3 linked regions of the Oreochromis niloticus genome follow. The protein of the gene in region 1 interacts with the protein of each later gene in a pairwise test. Links are inferred from orthologs where the notes say so. Each region holds a gene or a part of one and is shown in the gene's direction. Other genes may lie near its edges.

What was found.
Region 2: the proteins of nupr1b (region 1) and ranbp1 interact in a two-hybrid assay, tested with the Homo sapiens proteins (2 studies listed by BioGRID and IntAct). The link is inferred for Oreochromis niloticus from reciprocal best matches to the Homo sapiens genes NUPR1 and RANBP1.
Region 3: the proteins of nupr1b (region 1) and stx18 interact in a two-hybrid assay, tested with the Homo sapiens proteins (2 studies listed by BioGRID and IntAct). The link is inferred for Oreochromis niloticus from reciprocal best matches to the Homo sapiens genes NUPR1 and STX18.

What each region holds. Positions count from the first base shown.
Region 1 is NC_031969.2:33,682,556-33,689,951, forward strand, and holds nupr1b (nuclear protein 1b), read left to right. Parts: upstream 1-4,661; 5' UTR 4,662-4,743; coding exon 4,744-4,840; intron 4,841-4,918; coding exon 4,919-5,046; 3' UTR 5,047-5,054; intron 5,055-6,306; 3' UTR 6,307-6,424; downstream 6,425-7,396. UniProt on the Homo sapiens protein: Transcription regulator that converts stress signals into a program of gene expression that empowers cells with resistance to the stress induced by a change in their microenvironment.
Region 2 is NC_031977.2:9,595,235-9,603,005, reverse strand, and holds the start of ranbp1 (ran-specific GTPase-activating protein), read left to right. Parts: upstream 1-4,449; 5' UTR 4,450-4,599; coding exon 4,600-4,614; intron 4,615-4,698; exon of another isoform or gene 4,699-5,016; intron 5,017-5,975; coding exon 5,976-6,109; intron 6,110-6,191; coding exon 6,192-6,349; intron 6,350-6,993; coding exon 6,994-7,122; intron 7,123-7,217; coding exon 7,218-7,286; intron 7,287-7,576; exon of another isoform or gene 7,577-7,705; intron 7,706-7,771. Other genes in the region: trmt2a (tRNA (uracil-5-)-methyltransferase homolog A), read right to left, coding at 1-4, 530-641, 757-872, 958-1,072, 1,325-1,506, 1,733-1,841, 1,949-2,571. UniProt on the Homo sapiens protein: Plays a role in RAN-dependent nucleocytoplasmic transport. Alleviates the TNPO1-dependent inhibition of RAN GTPase activity and mediates the dissociation of RAN from proteins involved in transport into the nucleus.
Region 3 is NC_031970.2:27,531,025-27,538,864, forward strand, and holds the start of stx18 (syntaxin-18), read left to right. Parts: upstream 1-4,306; 5' UTR 4,307-4,380; coding exon 4,381-4,533; intron 4,534-7,840. UniProt on the Homo sapiens protein: Syntaxin that may be involved in targeting and fusion of Golgi-derived retrograde transport vesicles with the ER.

The sequences.
Region 1 (7,396 bases):
CAACACACACCTGTTTTGGTAATTAGACGAGATGAATCAAATCAAAAAACAGTTCTTATTAAGTTCAGTGATGGCAGTTCACCCCATAGAGGGGTTACCCTGTGACTCACCTGTCAGACGCCTGGACCATCTCACTATGTGACTCAGTGCATTTTTCTCTGTGGCAGAGGTCTGACTGAACCATGCCACCAAACAAAGAGATAAAAATAAATTAGAATTCCTCGGTCAGTGTGGAAATGAGCAAGTTCCCTTTGGCAGTGAGGGTGCCGGTGACCCTCTGTGCTTCTTTCTCGCTCCATCTCTGTGGCCTAAAGTCAGAAACCATGTCTTTGTTTTAGATATGTTCAACTGAAGGTAAGAGACTGAGTTCTTTTGCACCAGTGGTGGGCAGTAACATGTAATCTGATTACTTTTTCAAGTAACAAGTAAAGTAAGGGATTAAGATTGCAAAAAAGTAATTAGATTACCATTACTTTCGCGTTATTAAACCGTGATTTTGTTTGTGAGAGTGTCTCATGACAATGATGTGCGAGTGTGTGCGATGTCTGTGGCAGCAACAGACGTGTGCAGATCAACCGTGGATAACATGGAGTGATGGAGAGAGTACGACCATGCAGCGTTTAAAGCGTGGAAGTAATCACATTACTTTGAGTTTGATTCTGTAAAAACTGACAAAAACATCAGCGTCTGCTGTTCACTCTGCGTGGGAAGAAAACTTCTTTCTACAGCAAAGAATTAAACTTCAACTTTGAGCAGCGAGCACGCCGCCACGGGAATGTGACACTCACAGAGAAACCCCCGGATCCTCCCACTGACATGACCGCTGTGGGCAAACCTCCACCCGCCCCACTCCTGCTAAACAGGTGACAATAGATTTAAGAGCGACAGGACTCAGAGCTGCTGAATCTTTGATTTTATTTATTTCCTGCTGTGTTTTACTTGCATCTATTTGAAAGAGTGTAAACACAAAACAATATTTATTATTTTTATATGCTGGGATATGCAGGAAATAGGTTTAAATGTTAAAGTCAAAGACTGATGGATATAATTTAATTCATGCTTAATTCATTGTGCATAAAGATGAAAACAAATAAAACAATTTATAAAAAGAGACTTTTTCATTTGGTTACATTTTATATGATGGATTATGCAGAAAAAATAAATTTGGGCTGAAACGTCTGTTGCTTTATTACGAATTCAGGTTGTGTATCATGTTTTAAAAAGTAATTAAGTAACTAATTACTTTTGAAAATAAGTAAACAGTAAAGTAATGGGATTACTTTCATATGAACTGTATGAGAGTCTTTTAGACGTCGCTGAGTTTGTTTCAGTTTGTGTTTCACTTCCAAACATCCAAAAATCAGAAGAACTAAAACATTCAAAGTGTCTGAAAAATCTCTGTCTGAATTAAAACTGTTCAATCATTTCATGTTAAAATGATTCTGCATGCTTTATTTTACATACATGGAATTCTATTATGACACGTTAAGTAATCATCACTGTTCGTCTTTTGCACTGTACATTTTTCATATTTAACCCGTCAGTACAAACTTTGGGCCCTGACTTTAGTAAATCAGAGGTGGCTAAGGCTGTGCTGGTTTGAGACGGATAAAAACTGGAAACACTGGTTCAAAGAAGCAGCACTGTGATGGAGGCCAGCTGTAAAAATACTAAAACTCAGAAAAACCAAAATGATTCGCGTGCACGAGAGGACGCACGTGCACCCTAAACCCTCAACATGTCCAACGATCAGTGACCTCGGCCTCTCAGGTGAATGAAATAAATAAATGAAACAATTTCAGGAGATTTAAAAGGAAATGTTTACAGCTGTGTTAGTGCGTGTAACGTGCAGTAAAAGGATTCATGAAGATGAAAACACCTGAGCAAGTTTTCAGCCGCAGTTAATGTTTACCTGCTGATATCAGCTGATATCTGTGACCTGTGTGTTCAGTGGGAGCGCGACACGCCTCGCACATGTGACTGCGCACACGTCTGCAGCAAAGAAAACATCCTGAGCTCAGATCCTGCAGATTACACACTCGGTTTAAAACGTGTAAACATGCAGCCGTGACTTAGAGCTGCGACATAAACATGATAAAAGGTTGATTTCATGAAAAAAGTCAGTTATTCATGAAATATTTCAAACTGTGAGATAAACAGTCAAACGTGAGGAGAGAAAGTACAGAAACAGAAGTTTCCCTGATTCAGCAGAATAACGAGATTTCAGCTCGACGTCAAAACGTCAAAAAATCATGTTTCACTGAGTCGGAGCTGCAGCATGAAGACATGATCGTCCACAGTTTGCTGCTAAAAACACAAAATCATCATCGGAAAGATTCGACTTCCTGAGTCAGAAAAGATACAAATAAATTTATAAGATAAAAAATAAAACTTATGAATGATAAACAAACACGTGTGATGGGTTTAAATCTAAAAAGCAGAAAATTCAATTCAAGGTTTAAAAGTTGTGTGTGTGTCTGTGTGTGTGTGTCTGCGTGTGTCTGTGTCTGTGTGTGTCTGTGTGTGTGTGTCTGTGTGTGTGTGTGTGTGTCTGTGTGTGTGTGTGTCTGTGTGTGTGTGTCTGTGTGTGTGTGTCTCTGTGTGTGTGTGTGTGTGTGTGTGTCTGCGTGTGTCTGTGTCTGTGTGTGTCTGTGTGTGTGTGTCTGCGTGTGTCTGTGTCTGTGTGTGTCTGTGTGTGTGTGTCTGTGTGTGTGTGTCTGCGTGTGTCTGTGTCTGTGTGTGTCTGTGTGTGTGTGTGTGTGTCTGTGTGTGTGTGTGTGTGTGTGTGTGTGTGTGTGTGTCTGTGTGTGTGTGTCTGCGTGTGTCTGTGTCTGTGTGTGTCTGTGTGTGTGTGTCTGTGTGTGTGTGTGTGTGTCTGTGTGTGTGTGTGTGTGTGTGTGTGTCTGTGTGTGTGTGTCTGCGTGTGTCTGTGTCTGTGTGTCTGTGTGTGTGTGTCTGCGTGTGTCTGTGTGTCTGTGTGTGTGTGTCTGTGTGTGTGTGTCTGTCTGTGTGTGTCTGTGTGTGTGTGTCTGTGTGTGTGTCTGTGTGTGTCTGTGTCTGTGTGTGTGTGTCTGTGTGTGTGTGTGTGTCTGTGTGTGTGTGTCTGTGTGTGTCTGTGTGTGTGTGTGTGTGTGTGTCTGTGTGTGTCTGTGTCTGTGTGTGTGTGTCTGTGTGTGTCTGTGTGTGTGTGTCTGTGTGTGTCTGTGTCTGTGTGTGTCTGTGTCTGTGTGTGTGTGTGTGTCTGTGTGTGTCTGTGTCTGTGTGTGTCTGTGTGTGTCTGTGTCTGTGTGTGTCTGTGTCTGTGTGTGTGTCTGTGTGTGTCTGTGTCTGTGTGTGTCTGTGTGTGTCTGTGTCTGTGTGTGTGTGTCTGTGTGTGTCTGTGTGTGTGTGTGTCTGTGTCTGTGTGTGTCTGTGTCTGTGTGTCAGGAGGTCATGTTTACGACACGCCATGACTCAGGAAAACGTTCCTGCAGTCTCACATCCTCCTCTGCAGCCGGCTCAGTCACGTCGCTCACGAGGAGTCTGAGAAGCCTCCTCCCGACTCCTCCCGACTCCTCCTGACTCCTCCTGCTGCTGTTTACAGCACAAACCACCTGAAACAGCTTCAGTTGCTCAGAAAGTGACACCTGTGCTGAGCTGAAGTGTTTTACAGCCCAAATGTAAAAATGTCCTGACTCTCAAACACGAGCAGACAACAAAGCGCTCGTTCTTCTGTTTGTTCCTCTGAGACGCTCAGTCCAAAGTTTGTTCCACACAGATTAGATAACTCAGTTTAAATGTGAACACAAGGACACAAAGCTAATATATGCAGTAACTGCAGCGGCCCTTTCATGCTGCTTTGAATCCTTCAGCAGCGTCTTCAGTTTTCGCTGCATGTTTTTCCAAAAAAGTAAGTATTTAAACTGATATGAAAAACAAAAGTGGAAACGGTTACAATCATGTCTGAAAGGATGTCTGAGTGATGAGAGTGATGAGAGGAAACAAACCGAAAAGCCAGGCTCCAAAAGTCACAGTGAAGCTTCTGGAGATGAGCCTCGGTCACATTAATGGAAACATTTCTGCAGGATGACTCTGATCTGCTGTCACGGCCTGCAGTGCAGTTGGAGCAGCGTTAGATAAACACCATGAACCAGGTCAGGGTCATGTGACCACAGCAGCTGCTGATAACCAAGGAAAACAGACCCGGGATCATCTGCGGGAACCAAGGTCGGGTCTCACAGTGAGTCACAGGACCAGAGTCCACGTACACAGGTGTCACAGGCATGTGATGAAGATAACACAAGCTTCATGGTCAAAAACAGGACAGGTTAAGGAAAGTTAGGATACCTTGGTGGGTACATAAAAAGTACCAAAACAAGAGTATACAGTCAAATAAGTTTAAATTAGCTGTAAAAACCAACGAGAGCTAATAACTATGTAAACAAAGGTTTAAAACTATGAGAAGAAATACTGAATGTGACTTTGAATAAATAAAATGTAGAAATATGAGATAAAAAGTTGTGTATTCAACACAAAGAGTGTGTTCTTAATCTTGTTATGCAGAGGCTGCAGCTCTGTGGCTGATGCAACATTAGTGCAGAGGAAAGAGGAGCCCTGCAGGAGGAGTCAGGAGGAGGAGGAGGAGGAGGTGCATGCTTCTCATATATAAACAAACACAGAAAGACGAAAAACAGACAAACCTGCGAACACTGAGGCTTACTACGCAGACGCAAAGATCTCTGACAAACTTCTAGAAAAACAAACATGAGTCACGTCGACGTGAAAAACATGAAGCCCACCAAGTTTGAGGACGAGTACTACGACGAGTACGAGTACTATAACCTGACGGATAAATACGCAGGTGAGCTACCCTGTCCTGGTTCCGTCCGGTTCGTGTTCCGGGCCCGGAAAACTCACTGCTTTAGTTTTTCTGTTGCAGAAGGTTCGGCTCGGAAGGGCAGGACAAAGAAGGAGGCCAGCGACAACACCAACAGACACAACCCCGCAGGACATGAGCGCAAGATCGTGGAGAAGCTCCAGAACAGCGAGAAGAAAGCCAAGGAGTGAATACTGAGGTAAACCCTGGAAAACCGTGTTTGTGTGTCAGTGACTGTGCGCCGAAGTAAAGTAGGAATGCAGTTTCAGCCAGAGCAAAGTCGTCTGACTCACACGAGTCCGTTTGCACTGACAGAGGCCATAAACACTTAAAAACGGGCAGATTTCTGAACGCTGTCTGGTCTGTGGCTATTTGGAACGCTGGAACAGGGCAAACGTGACGCCAGACGCGCCGCGTGCAGAACTTCCTTTACGATTGTTTGAATTTAAGCCTCTCCCGCAGCGGTTTTTGCTGCCACACTTTGATTTTACAGCCCTCAGAAAAGAGTCCAAAGTTTCTTTTTATATCGAGTCCTGCGCCGAATTTTACACAGCGTGTTTCCTGTGTAGGAGGTCCAGTTTGAATCTTTGTTCTCGGTTTCTTTGCTCGAGGATCGGTCTGAATCTGAAATCGGCGATTTTTAAACGAATGTTTGGAACACAGCATACTGAACCACATCAAGCATTTTCCTAAACTGCGCTTGCTCCACAGTTATTAACAATAATTAACTGTTAATTAACAGCTGAATTTAAAGCCAGCTGTTCTTGTTACTGTTAAGGTTGAATAGTAGTGACGTCATGAGTGAAAAGACAGCTTAGCTGTTGTTTTAGCTATAATATTTGTCATATATTTCCCGTAGAATATGAATTCCCTCAGAACAAAACTGTTTATTAACTCCTGCCGCTCGCCTCCTGCACGTCATCACCAGGTTCATAGTTTGAATGGGCAGATATCCAGTAGAGGTTTGGTGCAGAGGGCAGAGGCTAACAGTTTGTACACTTTTACAATCCTCCTCCTGCTCTTCCTCTCCTTCTTTGCCCCACCCCACCCCAAGCCTTCTCCATCCTCCTTCTTTTCCACATCCCTGTTCGTCTTCTTCATGTTCTCCCTTGTCCTCTTCCTCCTCCTGCCTCCTCATCTCTTTTCTTCTTACGTGCCCTCCTGGTGGCCTGTGCAGGTACTGCAAGTCAATTAGAAATGATACAGTTCTTACATCATTTTTAAGCTTTATTATGATTTAATCCTACAGGATAAACTCGTATATGTAGCTGACAGATCACGTAATGAAACTGTAGATGAAGAAAACATTATGGAAAAGTTTAATTTTGGATTTTAAAGCTTTTTTTAAAAAGATTTTTAACACATGGTGCTGCTGGTGGTAAATAGATGCTTGAACTCCTCGTGTTTATGTCTTTTAATTAATTATTTGATATTTTTCTTTTCTACTTCAGGGAATCTCGGACGGCTCATCCCGGAAACCGACCATGGCGTCCTTGGCAACAGAACGACACGTGCAGATGGCAGGAGCGTCTGAGCTCCGATGGGCCCGCAGGTGTTGGAGAGCTCTCACCTGAGGCGGCGTGCCCCTGGGTCCCTGCTCGGACCGCGACCGCGCACCGAGACTGCGGTGGCGGCAAATGGCTCATTCTTAAGGATGTTTTTTAAAACTTGTTTTTACGATTAAAGACTTATTAAACTGAAATGAGAGTGTTCATTTTTTCTTCCTTTTAGGCCTCAGTGAAAAAACACAGCCTGTATGTAAAAGATGGATGTAGTGAGGTGCCAGGAAAGAGAGCCTGGAAAGTTCAGACATTGATGTTTAAACACCAGACATTGGTGCCAGCGTTCCTCCCTGTCCAGGATGTGTACATCCTCATCGTTGAAAGAGTGTCCACTGGCCTGTAGGTGTAAATAGACTGCAGAGTCCTGGCCTGATGAGGTAGCTCTTCTGTGTTGTAGCCAGAGGTTGTTTGGTTTCCCCGATGTATACATCCTGGCAATCCTCCTGCACTTAACAGCGTACACTATGTTACTCTGTTTGTGTCGGGGGACCCGATCCTTGGGGTGGACCAGTTTTTGGCGCAGCGTATTTTGGGGTTTAAAAGCCACAGAGACCCGGTGTTTAGAAAAAATGCGTCTCAACTGTTCCGATACTCCTGACACATATGGGATCACTACAGGTTTTCGCCTGGGCAGCGGTTGTCCTTCTCTCCTGGATCGGCTGGAGCTTTCTTTAGGTGCCTTCTCGCTTTGACAAAAGTCCAGCTGGGATAACCACATTTACTCAGGGCCTTCTTGATGTGCTGTCCTTCTGCCTCTCTGGCCGCTGTGTCAGTGGGGATGGTGTTCGCTCTGTGTTGTAGCGTCCTGATGACACCCAGTTTTAGATAATACAAAAACTTACTACATGATGAATAATCAGATGTCTTAAAAAGAAGACATACTAAGTTTTTCTTTTGAAGAACTGTTGAACAAACGCTGTGAAGAGAAGAATAATAACTCTGTGCAGACCTGCCTTTAAATAAAACATCATTCTGCAGG
Region 2 (7,771 bases), on another chromosome or scaffold:
TCACCTAGCACACAGACACAGAATGTTAATGGAGGCTAACCCCCTGATGTTAAAACTGGCAAACACAACTGGGACCATCAATGAAGTTGGTCATTGCTGCCTTGGCAATAACCAACCAAGGACACACCATACCCAAGTGTCCTAGCCACCGATTAATAAGATGAATGTATTAAATTCAGTCACTCTAGGCTTGTAGGATACTTTTGAGTTAACCCCTGTATTTCGAGATGTTTCCACATTTTAGGAATGCCTGCAAAAAAGTAAAGCATGGTGGAGTACAGCAATCTACTGCTGTTTGTTAGGCTCTGTGATGAGCCTTAGAAGAGACTAGCTGCTTGTTCACAGCACAGAGAAGTACCGTTTCACCCCATCTGCAGAAGGATAACATGGTGAGATCAGAACTTCAGAAAAGAATTACCATGCCTGCCATAACATGTGTTCACTGATCCTCAGAAAGAAATCCTGAAATATTCTAGTTGCAAACCAGACTTAATAACTTCCACAACATGCAGCTTCTGCTCTTCCTCACCTGGAAGAATGAATGAGGAGAAATCCTGAATTTTAAACCCAGCATTTCTTCTTGAATGCAGCTCTCTCCAGCCACCAGCTCACAGGGCAGATCCTCTGGATTTGGAGATTTCCTTTACAGGCAAAAAGAAAATAAAAGGAGTTACGTAAATAGAGTATTATTGAGATGACATTCAGTCATTAAATTCATACAGATTATGACTTATTGAGCATATAGTTTAGTTTTACCTTTGGCCCTCTCTAACAAAGTACAGCGAGGTCACACCGCTGTCTTTCCCCTCTCCTTCTGTGAAGTACTCCTTCATGGAGTTCTTTAAAGCACCAAGTTCCTCTTCTTCAAGTTTCTAAGAGTCATTAAACAAATAAAGCAAATCAAAAGGGGGAACTTTAAAAGCATGGGGCACGAGTTCAGTTTCAACATTTCATTACCTGTGGGTTGAAGAACACCATGGCCATGGCATGTTTGGTCCTCGTAGTACGTACAGTCAGCTGCTTCCAGTGTCCTTCATATGTCTCTGGGCTGTACACAGAGTATGGAGTTGTCCTGTTTGCAAACAATCACAGCAAGACTGAGCAATTAGTTGCTTTTAGAAACAAAATCATTCGGACAACTTGCTTTCAGTTTTTTTTTTGCTAGCATGTGACTAATTTGTATGATATTTCTCAAATAACATCACACGTACATTATGAATTTGATCATCTTCTTGTTTTGTTTAGGTTCAACTACTTTTTCCAAGCAGCTTTAGTTCCCCAAACTAAATTGTTCCTAGATTCTCATGAGCACACATAATAATACCTGATGAACTTTTGAAACTCGCTGACCACCTTCTTAGCCTCCGGCGGCACGTGGCACGTGTCAGCCGGCCCCACCACAGCACAGGAGCCTCCTTTGTATTTCCCCAGGCGGAAACCGATGGTTTTATCCTCGCCATCTGCACCCACCGATATGAGGAACTCACACTTGTTTCTGTACTCTGTCTGCCATGATCAGAAACAGGGTCAGAAGGATGAGTATTAAATTATATACAATATTTAGAGACATGAAAACAGCTGAGAGCTTGTGAAACAGAATAAACTTATCTATGCCATTTTTCATCTCTAATTAGTCACTTTTTATCTTGTGTGTTTTTTTGTTTGTTTTTTTTAAACTGTTGCATCACCACCTGCCTTTATGGACAAATAAAGGTGACTAGTTGAAGTATACCTGTATAGGAGACGGTCGGAGGGCTTCCAGAGGACAACACATGTTGTTGTATTTCCCTTTCTGTGCAAACAGCCACGGCACCATGGCTTTGTTGGTGCTGCCGATCTCTCTGAAACATCAAGGTTTAAGTTGTAATGACATGTAAGGAAGTCCCATAAAAAAAAAGCACAATATTACCTATAAAATCACACAAAATCTGTATTATATTACACTTACTTGGCCAGCTTCTGCAGAACCGCCACCACCTCCTGCTCCTTCCTCTTCAGCTGCTCGTCATAAGGCACGTTCCACAGAGGTGTCACAACGTTGGCTATCTGGACACTGAGCGGCTCCTCTTCCTCGTCCCCCTCATCTGTTCGTTTGCATGGGGGCGGGCCTCCCGCGCTCTCCCCCTCATTCTCCTTCCTCTTCCTCAAGATGGGGTCTGCCTTGGGTTTGGCCAGCTTGACACTTAGCACCTGGCCCTTCCACTGCATGCCGTGCACCATCTTCATGGCCTTGTCGCGCTCCTCTTCGTTCTTGAAGGTGACAAAAGCAAACGTCTGCCTGCCAAACAGCTTTATTTTGTGTGGGTTGAGGCCGTGCTTGGCCAAGAACTTCTTCAGGTCATTGAAGCCTACGAACCTGGGCAGATTCCTGATCTCCACTTTGTATATCTCCGATGTGAACAGGTCCTCTTTTATGTAGCGGTACACGCCGGGGTCAGAAGCTGCCTGGCTTTCTCCTTCAGCCTGAACATCAGGCTTGGCAGCATCAGTTTTGGCGAGGTCATCAGGCTTCTCCTCCAGGGAGAGGGATGGCGGAGTGATGCCCACTGGGCTGCTAGTGATATCTGCCATCACTTTGCTGATTCCTAAAACACCAAACAATAGGTAGGCCTATCAGGACCTTGCATTCACGGTGTTAAAACGTGAAAAAAAAGTACCATAAAGATTACCAAAGACTAGATGTTGCTGGTAACTTTTAACACAGTGGTACTATTTCAAACGCGCACGCTCTACTCTCAAGACTGGTTTAGGGTATTGTGTAACTTTCAAATAACTGCTACAATTAACGTGTCACGGTGAATATGTAAAACAATGCGTTTATCCTACATAGCAGTACATGCATTCACTGCTTTTCAGTAATTAAGTTTTGGTTATACGGCAAACTGAAAGACTTGATGCTAGCTCGAGCAGGAAGTTACATTCTTCGCAGCTTCAAAGGAACCACGTTGGCATTTTAACGGAACACTTTGCGTGCGTGCTGTTTTTCACTAGCGGTAACATTTCACGAGAGCTCCTTACCTTCCCGTGCCTGTATTTACTTTCTGCTCCACTTCTACCTAGCAGGCGCCGCCATGTTGATTCAAGCACGTGCAGCTTGAACTATGAACTTTGTTAAAGTGACAGGCATCCCACCGGCTTTCAGTTTGTGTACTTTGGTCACTTGGACAGAATTTCTGTTAATTAATTTCATTTCATTTCTGTTTTGTGTTTTATAATTACGGCACAGTCTGGGCAATGGAGTATCAGAACTTTTGCTGTCATTTTACACGTTTATTTCATACAATTTAAACTCAAAGAATCGCGTTAACAGATTTCTTCTTTACTACAGCATTTACTTAGAATTTATAAAAACGGAGAAATGGTTTTGAAATGACTTTTTTCCTTTTATTGCGATATCTCGGGGACTAAATGTGTAGTTAAACTTCTTCACATTTACATTAAGCCCAGTTAAGATCAAAGTGGGCTGTATGTATGGTATAGTCTTTACACAGTTTAAACACATGTATGGAATATTGCCATAGTCCCACTTTTTTCCAGTATGCTATATAGCATACTGGAAAAAGTGTGTTGATTCAGAACAATTATGTGCCAATTAAGAATCGTGTGTGATTTTTTTTCAGATTGTCTTAAAACCAGACTTCACTATGAAAATAATGTCATTCATTGGTTTCATTAGAAATTTTTTTTTTTACCACTCATAACTCTGTTTTCATGCTTTCATTGAGGGAAATGTGTATTTTAAAGAGTCTGTTAATATTTAGATAGGATACATTTGGCTTCATTCACCAGCAAGTTTTCTACTACTTTTCAGCTTTATGCCACTAATATCTCACAATCTCTCCTTTGTTCTGTTGTCCTTTTGTTGTAATGTAATGTCTCCATTACATATTGTTGTTTAGTTCACTTGTTTAAAAAAGAAAGAAAGATGGTTGAGCCTTTAAGTATTTCAGCACTATTTTCTGCTTTGGATGATTGACTGCAGGTATTTAAGCTCATTTATCTTCACTACCTCTTCTCCTTGCAACTTCACTGTTATCCCCGTCTCTCTCTCCTTCACACACGTATTCTGTCTTGCACACTGAAGCCATGATTGATAAATGGTAAATGGACTAGTACTTTTTGTAGCACTTTTCTATGGCTGTCAAGCAGACCACCAGATGTCACAGTCTGGATAAAAGTCACTTCAAGTTGTACAAGTATTTCATTTTACATAATAAAGGTACTACAACTGGTATGCAGAAGTTATTGATCCTGTAGAAAACATGTTAATATATCCTATCGAAAAGTGAAGTGACAATTATTGAAACCGAAGTTTTTTTGGTTTGTTTGTTTATTGGTTATTCTGTTTTTCTTTCGATAAAAGTGGTTACGTTTTTCTATTGAAAATAATATCTCAGGAAAAACATTTTTGTGAAAACGGCTGTCCCTGAGAAGAGAGAGGCGGTGCGCGTGCTGTGACAGCGTGAGCGCGGACATGCGTAGAGAATTCGGCGCGCGAAAGCTGTAGCAGGAAGTGAGAGAAGCTGAAGGGAAACGGCGGCCAGTTTGGGATTTGAATCTCTCAAACTACTCTCATAATCTACAAACATCTACAATAATATGGCAGACCCAAAGGTGAGGTCTATCGTTCTAGGTCATGTAATGCTTTATGATTGCTAGGAAATAACAATTTTGTGACAAACATTGTTTTTCATGTGTCATAATTTGTCAAAGTTTCGAAAGGAAGCCGTGTGCAAGAAATGCCGACAATCATCTTGTCTTTGGTGATGCTATGATCCACTAATTGATATTTTTTTAGTGATGTAAAAGGTAACGGAACGCCAATGGACTTATGAAAATGCACAGTGTAACCGTTGTAAAATTTTCCACTCTTAACACTTCCGTTACAGTTCACGAGCTCAGTAATTCAAAGTGTCCAGCCAGCAAACGTGTTAACATTAGCTTCATACTGTGAACATTAGCATAGGGAGGTGATGTGCGAAAGAACATTAGTGCTTCTACCAGACGATCACAACGGTCAGTTTTTTAAACGGGGTATTTTTCAGTTAGTATACTTCTCACTAGCTCAGGGCAACGAGGTTAGCTAGGTTGCTTGCCTTTGTCTGCCAAGCACAATACTTGCTAACATTAGTTAGCTAGTGTTAGCGCTATAGCAGGGCGCTGTTTACTGTCTGTTAGCAATGACGGTGTTACATTGAATAGACTGGCCGAAAATCACACAAGTTAATGAAAAAATACGGCGGTTGTGCTGAGCAAAATGCACAGAGGTGCAAGAAAAGAGAAAGTCCGATTGGTAGCTCCGGGCTAGCCGGCTAGTGAAAGGCCTGTGTTTCTAGCTAGGCAAGTTCACAACGAGTTGTCTTAGGAAAAAATAAAGTTGGATAAGTATTTGATGACAATAATAAAGTAAAAGCTACAACTTTAGCAAAGTTTTACAGTATGCGTCTAAATATCCAACACAGTGACAGCATTAATTGAAATATGGTGGTACTGATTTTTATTTAATAATGTCAGTCATGTTAATGTTAGGATACCTGTATTAGAAAAGACTTAAGCGATATATTGGGTTAGTGCTAACTTGCTATGCGGGTAGCCAGTGTACTTGCAAACAAAGCTAGCAGCAGGTAAGAATAAAGTGTCCCTTTAATAATTAGTTAATTGATGCTTATAATAGCTCAGGTCGATTTTATCACTTAAGTCTGGTTGACCAATGGTTTTAATAGTTAGCATCTTTATTCTCTTTAACTTTTTAATATTAAATACGTTTGTTGTCTATCAGTTTTGTATTTGAGAGCCTTTGGATAAGTGGAAGAAAATGATGGATCTTTAACACTGAACTCTATTAACACTAGTGAAGAATTCATCCTCTGTGGCTCATTTGTTAGAATTCAAATGTTGAATTTAAAGAATGACATTAAAACCATGTAGTTTCTTGGGGGGGGAATTGAGTTAATTTAATGTGCTTTTCCTCTTAGGACCAGGAAGACCACGATACCACTGCAGATGGTGCAGAAGACTCTAATCATGATCCCCACTTTGAGCCCATCGTGTCTCTTCCTGAGCAGGATGTGAAAACATTAGAGGAGGATGAGGAGGAGCTGTTTAAAATGCAAGTTGCTTACCATGTGAACACATTAACTGAGATACATTGATCAGTTTCGAAATACTGAGGTGTTCTGCTGTTTTCATAGGCGGGCCAAACTATATCGTTTTGCCTCTGAAAACGACCCGCCAGAGTGGAAGGAGAGAGGAACTGGAGACGTCAAGCTGCTGAAACACAAAGAGAAGGGCACAATCCGCCTCCTGATGAGGAGAGATCGAACTTTAAAGATCTGTGCCAACCATCACAGTGAGTCAAATTGAGAAATCTGATTTCATTGCTGTTCATGTCATGACAACAATTGGCCATATGTAACCTAAACAATATTTCTGAGTGGTGGTACAGGTAGAGTGGTGTGAAGATGTGTTATTTAAATCCTGGGTGTGCTCACTGACTGGTGTGTCCAAGGATTTTTTTTCTTGGTTTTATTGCAAACATTTTCTGATGTACATGTAAATACAAAAAGACCACAGGCCCCATGTGATCCCCCCGTCCCCCTTCCCCACAATGGTTAAATGAGTGAAATCCCTGGTATTAGTGGCAACAACAGAACTATAGATGAGGAAACGAGAGGTTGAGGTGTGGGTGTTGGAGGTACTGGGGCTTGTAATCTCATCCGGTTGTGATACAATCCAGACTGTGATTTTTTTTTTATTTATTTATTTATTTTTTTTTATTTATTTATTTTGTGTGTGTGTGTGTTTGACTTGAGATACATGAGTGTTTTACTCTTCCATTCACTCCTGAGGGGAGATAAAGAAATGGTGCACCTGTGTGTCTAATTCCCTATGAAACTACTAGATGGGGAGGGGGCAAACTACTAGATTTTTAAAACAAATCCCTTTTAGTGACTGTGGTCATACCTGCACTTAATGTGTTCTTGTTAACCACAGTTTTACCAATGATGGAGCTGAAGCCCAATGCTGGCAGTGACAGAGCATGGGTGTGGAACACACTAGCTGATTATGCAGATGAATGCCCCAAACCCGAACTTCTGGCAATCCGCTTTTTAAATGCTGAAAGTAAGTATTTAGGTACCCACTTCAACATTACACATCAATTCTCCCAGAGCTTTTTAACTTGGATTTTAAATTGTTACATTATGTTCTGTTTACAGATGCTCAGAAGTTCAAGGTGAAGTTTGATGAGTGCAAGGAGGAAGTCAGAAAACATCTAGAGCAAACGGGTACATGAAGCCTAAACTTTTAGGGTTTTTTTTTCTCTAGATAATTAAATATGTGAATTTTCTGAGAAGCAAGTGAAGTAAAACAGTTTTCTCAACATAAAATAGTCCATAATGTAGATCACATGAACATTAGATAGGAATTGTCAGTAATTTTACTTGGAAACATGTGAGTAGCAAATACTTTCAGAAGCCTGAATGCAACATTTTTCTAAGGTTAAAGTGACTTGTATTGATTTAAGACTGAATTCAAACTGAGAGTAACGTGACATAAGGACAGGAGCTGTGAGCATGCAGACACACTCTGTTCTCTGCTGCCAACTTCAGCTGGGGACTTTTTCTGTCTGCTACATGAACACGCAGAATGTAACACTTTACTGGTTTTCTAAAAGACTGGTGTCGGTATGTTCTGCTACATTACAATTCAGTTTTCACAGGCCCATGGTGTTCGTGTCATTGAAAGGTTAGACTGTTGTAGAGTTTGCCGA
Region 3 (7,840 bases), on another chromosome or scaffold:
TGTTGAACCCTGACCTTAACTATGGCAAGTGAGGGTTTTTTTTCCTGGATGAGCTGTTGATGTTCTCTTGGAGTAATTTTAGCAGGCTGGCCACTCCTGGGAAGGTTCAACACTGTCCTAAGTTTTCTTGATTTGTGGATAATGGCTTTAACTGGGGTTTGCTGGAGTCCCAAAGACTTGGAAATTGCTTTGTAAAACTTTCCAGACTGACAGATGCCAATGACTTTAAAATATGGCATGATGTGCTGCTCTTTGAAATCTCTTAGCTTCCTTTACTTTGTCAGACAGGTTTTATTTAAGTGATTTCTTGATTCAACAGGTCTGGCAGTAATCAAGCCTGGGTGTGTTTAGTGAAACTGAACTTGTTTGTGTTCCAAAAAATTGTGGTTAATCACAGTTAATTTATAATTTAACAAGGGGCCAATTACTTTTTCACACAAGGCCAGGATAAGTTTGGATAGCTTTTTTCCCCCTTAACAAATCATCATTTAAAAACTGCATTTTGTATTTTCTCAGATTATCTTTGTCAAATGTTAACATTTGTTTGATGAAACTGAAACATCTAAGTTTGACAAATGCAAAAACAAAACTCAGAACTCACAAAGGAGGTAAATACTTTTTCATGCCACTCTAATAAGCTAGAAGTGATAACTAAACAGCTGGGAATGCTAATAGAAAAAAACAGCTTGATATACTGCATCCAGTTTATGACTTTTAGCATATTCCCTTAAAGTGAAGGGTAGCTCATCAATAAGCTCTATTAAAGCTCAGACCCGCTACACTAGAGAGCAAATTTAATTACAGAAAGAATGGCTTTTTGCACTTAAAGGACCACATAGTGGATCTATGAAAGAAAATATGCTCCTGAAACTTCATTCAGTCACCTTTTTCTTCTAGCTTAGTAAAGTGTGATGCGTACCGTAGTGAAAATTCAGCGATCGGTTAGATTTCTTGCAGCACATTTTGGCATCTTAAAGGCAATCATTCCTTTGTGCGTGCCCATGCACACCATGCTTCAAGACATACACTCTTACTAAAGTCAAAACTATAAGAATTTTAAATGCTGAGACTGCAGAAAGGGTGAGACAGTCGCAGCACTCAGCTGTAAAACAGTCTGGCACAACACTAACAAAGGAAATGAGCAAACCACATAGCAAATAACAGACTTTTATTCAACACTCTAAGCCCAACTGCTTATATCTGAGTGCCAATCCCAGTCACTTGCAAATAAACAGATTTATGAGAAATAGTACACACAAATTGCTACATTTGTCTAGACAGGACATTATTCTAGCTTTACTTATACTGGCAAGATTAGGCTGGAGTTTTATGAATATGTATATTTGTATATGTCAAATCTTGACAGTCTCCAAATTTGCACTTAAGAGTGAATTAGGTGACTCAGCAAATAAACTACATTTCTAACAGAAGAAGAAAGAGACAAATTTTGCCTCCTACAAAGAAAAGCCGAATGTGAAAATAACTGAAATTCAGTATTTATTTGGGATAACTCATTCCCTGCAAAAATATTTAAATATTACATAAAATTTTCTTTATGTGGCCATTTAATCATCCGTCTTCTTCTGTTTATCTAATCCAGGGTTACAAGAGGTCTTGGATCTGTGCTACCAGAAGGCAAAAGGCAGGGTACACAGTGCAAGTCTCTTGCAGGGCTAACACAGAGGGAAAACCATTTGTGCTCATTCACACCTGTGGAAAGAGTTAGAATGACCAATTACCCTAACACATGCATGTCTGTAGGAGGAAACTGGAGTACCTGGAGAGAACCCATAGTAACATACTGTAGGGAGAACATACACACTGCACACAGAAAGTCTCCAGCCAGCTAGTGGATTCAAACCCAGGCTCTTCTTGCTGTAACGTGACAGTGCTAAAACACTGTGCCACTTCACCAAAAAGCACTATATTGCTGTTTTCACTATATTGCTCCCAAGTACTACATCCATCCATCCAATTTCTTCTGCTTATCCAATTCAAGTCCACAGACGGGCTGGAACCTACCCCAGCTGTCATAGGGTGTGAGGCAGAGTACAGGCTGGCTGGAGAGGTCGCCAGTCTGTCACAGGGCTAACCGGGAGAGCCAGACAATCATTCACATTCATATGTACAGGCAATTTAGATCCACCCCCCATTCTTTTACTATAACTACTGTTGATCAGTAACTGCAACATGGATTATCTTTAAAATCTAAAACTTCATGTCCATTCCAAAAAAACAAATAACACAAGCTTAAATGCAGTCTTGAATGGAAAGTTTAAAGTAAATACAGTATCTTTCAGGAGATTTTTAGTGATAACAAGCGCTCTGAGTTAACGTGTTGATTTTCTTTTTACACGACAAATTGCGTAATCAGGAGGAAAAGCAAAGCTATTATGCATCTTAGCCTCCAGTAATTACACTGATGTACTTTAATATAAACAGACAACAAAATTCTACCACACTGCATTAACTGGGGTTTTTTTGTTTGTTTGTTTGTTTTGACTGTACTGACAATCACTCATTATTGTGGCAGTTACAATACAATACCAAAATATAATCATTAGAACAACAGACAGAAGTTCTGGCATGAATATTAGTTTTGATTAGCACCAACATGCAGCCATCATCTGTCAGTATAAACATCAAAACATTTCCTTATTCATCACATTGCTACCAGGTAGAGGGAGTGTAGAAAAACTGCACTGCACAGCTCAGAAATTGCACAGTCTCTGAGCACAAGTCTCCACAAAGACATTGAAAACCATCCAACAAATCCCACACAGCATAAATCAGCCCATTGGTAGGAACACGGGTTGCATTCATAGGTGGCAGAAAACTCGGAAATAAGTTGAATGTGTGTATTTTAAAAATGCACTGGCATATAAATATTCTTATAGCTCACCAGGTCAGGAGGTATCTTACACCTCCTTAGTGAGGTGGAACAAAACTAGTGTCTTCCTTCAGACTAAATATTTCGTATCGTTTCACAGAAAAAACCACACATTTAAAATGATAAACTGTATAGTTTAATTTGTTGATTGTGCGGTGTGCTGGTGATAGAGAAGTAAAATGAGAAGTATCCAGATGTTCACTAGAGTCGGTAATGTCAGTAGCATGTGGCGTTCTCAACAGCACCGTCAGTGATTTAGCTACATTACTAAATGCCATCTTTGGTTCTGCTGCAGAGATTCGTATATTCGTATATGTGGGGAGCTGTCACTGTGTCAGCTGCTTCTTGTTTGGGAATCTTTCATCTATTGTGGGAATATTTTCATCTCTAACACAGCATGAATAAAAACTTTTATCCATTAATTTATCTGATAAATGTTATTTTAAATTTTAAATGAATGGGCAATCTTTCAGAAAACCTTCAGTAAATAATCCCCAAAACTCGTTCTGATTTGATAAACTAAGAGTTTCCATCAGCTGTGGGGCTAAAGAGTCGTATCTCTCTTGTTGTAGCACGTCTCAGAGGTTCATTACAGAAATAACTGTTCGGGTCTCTGTAATGAACTGCTCAATGGACAGGCTTTTATCTGTTAACAAAGAATCATTGCTTGCATTATTTATTGATAAATATAGCAAGTTGATTAAATCATTCATGCATACTCCCTACTTTGTCTCTCTATGTTTAAATGCTTTTTCCTTGTTTTTCACTATCCTATAAATTTTGCTTCAACACGTTGATTTTCCTCACCTTTACCTCTGTGTATTTCTGTCGTTTGATCTCCTCCCTTGTATTTGCAATCAGATTTTCCCATTTTTGTTGCACTCTGAAACTGTACAATGGACCTGTGGGATGGCAGCATTTATGGTTTGGACTGTCGTTTCCCAGACTTGTCCCTTGTATTCTCCAGTGTTATATTTTCTTCTGACTGTTTCTCTTCTCCTGCATTCTGCTGGACATCACTTCAAGAGCCTTTAGAGGCAATTATCTAATGGAGATACACACAGATTGATTATCTGTGATGGATTATCTGTTATACTGGTGCTCCCTAAAACATGCCTAAAACAAAGCTGAAATTTTGATTCGTGGCACATACAGGTAAAGGCTTCAAGTTAATGCTTTCAGACTCAAGGTTTCAGTTAAAATATTAAGAGATTTTTTTAAAATTAAAGATATTTAAAGATTTTCCCTATAAGAGTTGATTCTAAGCGACCAGTATTTAAATATACGATCGGACTCTGGCAGAATTCAATTATTATGATCTGAATATTAGTTATAATAAATAAATACTGATGAAATCTTTAAGGTGAAACGTAACGCTTTCGTACCCGTATTACAGGAAAAATCTAGCGCGTCCCACGAAGATGACGTCCTCACCGGGTGACGTGTCAGTTTGTTTACAGCGGTGAGCAGTCGGCTGCAGCTGCTCAGACATGGCTGTTGATATCACGCTACTTTTCAAAGCCAGCGTTAAGACGGTCAAAACCAGGAACAAAGCCATAGGAATTGGCTTCGACTCGACCAAAGATGAAATTTTCAAGAGAAGCAGACCGAAGAGTGGCTTCTCACCGAGGGCGAAAGAAGTGGTGAGTGTTCATCCAGCCTAGCGTTAGCTAACTCTGCTAGCACAGTGGCCAAAGTGCTTTACGTTTAATGGCAGCTTCTAAACTTACTACTACTTTGTAGGAGCAACAGCAGCCAGTGGAACATATACAGTGCATATACGATGCTTACCACTTGTATTTTCTTTAGTGTGTTGGCGCTGTTCGTGGTTAGCCGGGCCTGTCAACATGTGCAGGCTATAACTTTGCTAAATGCAGTATGAACTTAAATTTGATTAGATTTTTAAAAATTTACATTGAATATATGCAAATTATATTCAAAATGTGTCATAGATTACATAATATTATGATATGTTGAGATTTAAAATATATAGGATTTGATTATTGCTCTTTTTGACTAATACGATAAGTGGCCAGTTAATCGTTTGTTGACGGCTTTGATGATCTGTACTGAGAGTAGGGAGCAGGTGAAATAGAGCCTGGAGATGTGCAGGTATGCTTTGAGAGAAGATGAAAGTCAGTAGAAGCAAGACAGAATACATGTGTGTGAATGAGAGGGAGACAGGTGTAACAGTGAAGCTGCAAGGAGCAGAGGTACTGAAGTTTGATTACTTTAGGTATCTGGGGTCAACCATCCAAAGCAATGGATAGTGCATAAGAGGTGTGAAAAAGAGTTTGCAGGCAGGGTGAAGAAGGTTGATGCAATATCAGGGGTGATTTGTTAGAGAAGGATAGCACCAAGAGGGAAAGGGAAGGTTTGCAAGACTAGACCTACTATGATGTATGGCTTGGAGGTGGTGGCACTGACAAAAACGACCGGAGGCCGAACTGAAGATGTTAAGACTTCTTAAGACTTAAGACTTCACTGGGAGTCACCAGGTTAGACGAAATTAGAAACAAACACATCAGAGTGCAAGAGAAATACTCACCTTATGCCATTTCCTGTATATACTTTGGTAATCTACAGGTAACTTTTACAGATGAGAAACCTTGTTCACATTGAACTTTTATTTAGTATTTTGTAGCCAGGCGTTAAGAATACAATATTCACTCATTAAAGTTATCTGGGGATGCCCAGGCTTACTACGTGTGCTCAACTGTGTTTTACAATTCCTGGTTATTATTATAATAACTGCATTTGTTGGAGTATGCAGTTATTATAAGTGCATACTCCACTTCATGAAAAACAGTCTTGGCACAGATTGATAGATGTGGGCAACGCAGGGAGAGAAATAAGCCAGAAATGTTGTTTCATAGCTGCTGGTGTGCAGTCTCCCAGTCTGTATTCTCATATCTGACCAAATTATCATGAAAAAAAATCACTCAAGGACAAAATTGTCACATCAATAGCCTTCCTATAGATTAATCAATAAAAGCTAAAAGTAAAAAAAAACAAAAAACACTTTTTATAGCATTGAACTCAGTGAAGCCTCTTCTTTTCATCAGAACAGTTCATTTATATTGCAGTTTAATTGTAAATTGTGCAATTTATTTTCCACAACACAAAGCCTGCAACTGATATTCAGAAAAAGTTTTACACGCTTGGATCAGCAGTTTATATTTTTTTCAGAAACCATATAAATATGAACAGCTACACGACTGAAGAAGTATGTTTTTCTTTTCTTCCTTTCTTAGTTTTCTGGCAATACCCAGTTAAAATGACCTTGGTCTCACTGAAAAATTCTAGCTTTTTAATACACTGTCAGTAATGGAATTTTGACTTCATCTCCTCTAATACTGTAATAATATCAATTTATTTGTAGGATTTCACATAAGACTAAATATATTGGGGAAAAACAGCTTTGGATCTCATTTTATGAAACATCTTAAATGATCTTTTTCCACTGAAATACAGACCTATCCTCTATGGTTGACGGTACAAGATCTAGCAGTGTACATGTTGCTTATACTTCTACTGCTGCTCTTTGGCCTGACATGAATATCTCAAAAACAAACCTCTTCAAAGGTACCTTGAAGAACCACTTTACGTATCCCAAGGGGAGTCAGGGCTTTAAGTTGTACCCGATGTCTCCAGCCATCAGCCCGAGGCAAACATAAGCCCATTTGCTGCAGCTTTGCACAACCAGGTTTTTGTTATGTTCTGTTACATTGATATTACAAATGGTGGTTTAATAAAGGCACTGCTGCTTATTCAAGAGAAACCCAAACCTATCCTGTGGTGGCTGTCTCCTTCGCGTTGCAGATATCATCTCCGACCATCTCAGTGAAGCCGTTTTTGCCTAAATTGAAAATGTGAGCTTGGAATGTCCTGACTGCTTACAGTTATGTCGCGGTTTTCACCCACGTCTCCCCAGCTCAGCTATCCTTTTCTGTCTCTATTCAGCATCACATAGGCAGTAATTTTTATGCAGGTCGCCTCTTCCCATGTATGATTCCGTAAACATGCTGCAATAACATTTTCTTTCGGCTCTCAAACAATTTCTGGGGAAAGCTGATCCTCCCAAGAGCCAGTGATTAAAGGTGGAAGATCAAAACAGAGAAAATATTAAATTAGGTCCCCAGTAACAATGTTGACGGCCGGCACCTAATGCACAACAGATGTGGGTGCCCTTCAAGACATGCATAACTCTCCCACTAACTCTCCCTCCTAAATTCCCATTGAAGCTTCGCAAAAATAGAAAGAAAACATCAAAGTTGACAAATACACAGTGGACCTCTGAGACTTTTTTCTTTTTCCACTCAAAAGTCAACACAATGAGAAAGGAAATGTAGCTACTTTCAAGTCGATTCAAAAAGGGTTTGATTGACTAATAAGAGGGCCAGTGTTTGCAGGGTGGGGTTTGGTAAGGGGAATCTTTTACCTCATAGGGGTTGGTTTTGGGCGCTGTGATCTCCGTTTCACCGCTCACCTCGTCGCTCTCCGCAGCATGCTACCCTTCTCAAGTTTAAATGGGGAAGGTCACTCTGAAATTGTCAAATTGGGTGTAGAAAATAGCGTTTGGCTCCCCACTCTGCCTTCAGTATTGGTATTCCAAAATTGGCTCCTTCTCACACTGTTTTCTTTGAAACACTGAAAAGTGGGCCAGCTCTTAAAATTATGTTGTGTTGTTAGAGGGGCTCTTCACTGTGAAAACTTTACAGTGAAATGGTATGCTCTAGTATTTTCATAACATTTAGTCACAATTTTTTCGATGATGGTTAAGTTTCCAACTCCAGTGTGTTTTATTTTTTTCTTTTTAAACAATTCAAATTTCATTTTATGTTTGAGATGTTATAAACTAAATCAAACCGTTGTGAAAGTGAAGTTAAAATTATCGCCTTGTATCACACCGGGACGTTAAAGAGGATCAGTGAACTTGCAAAGGTCAGA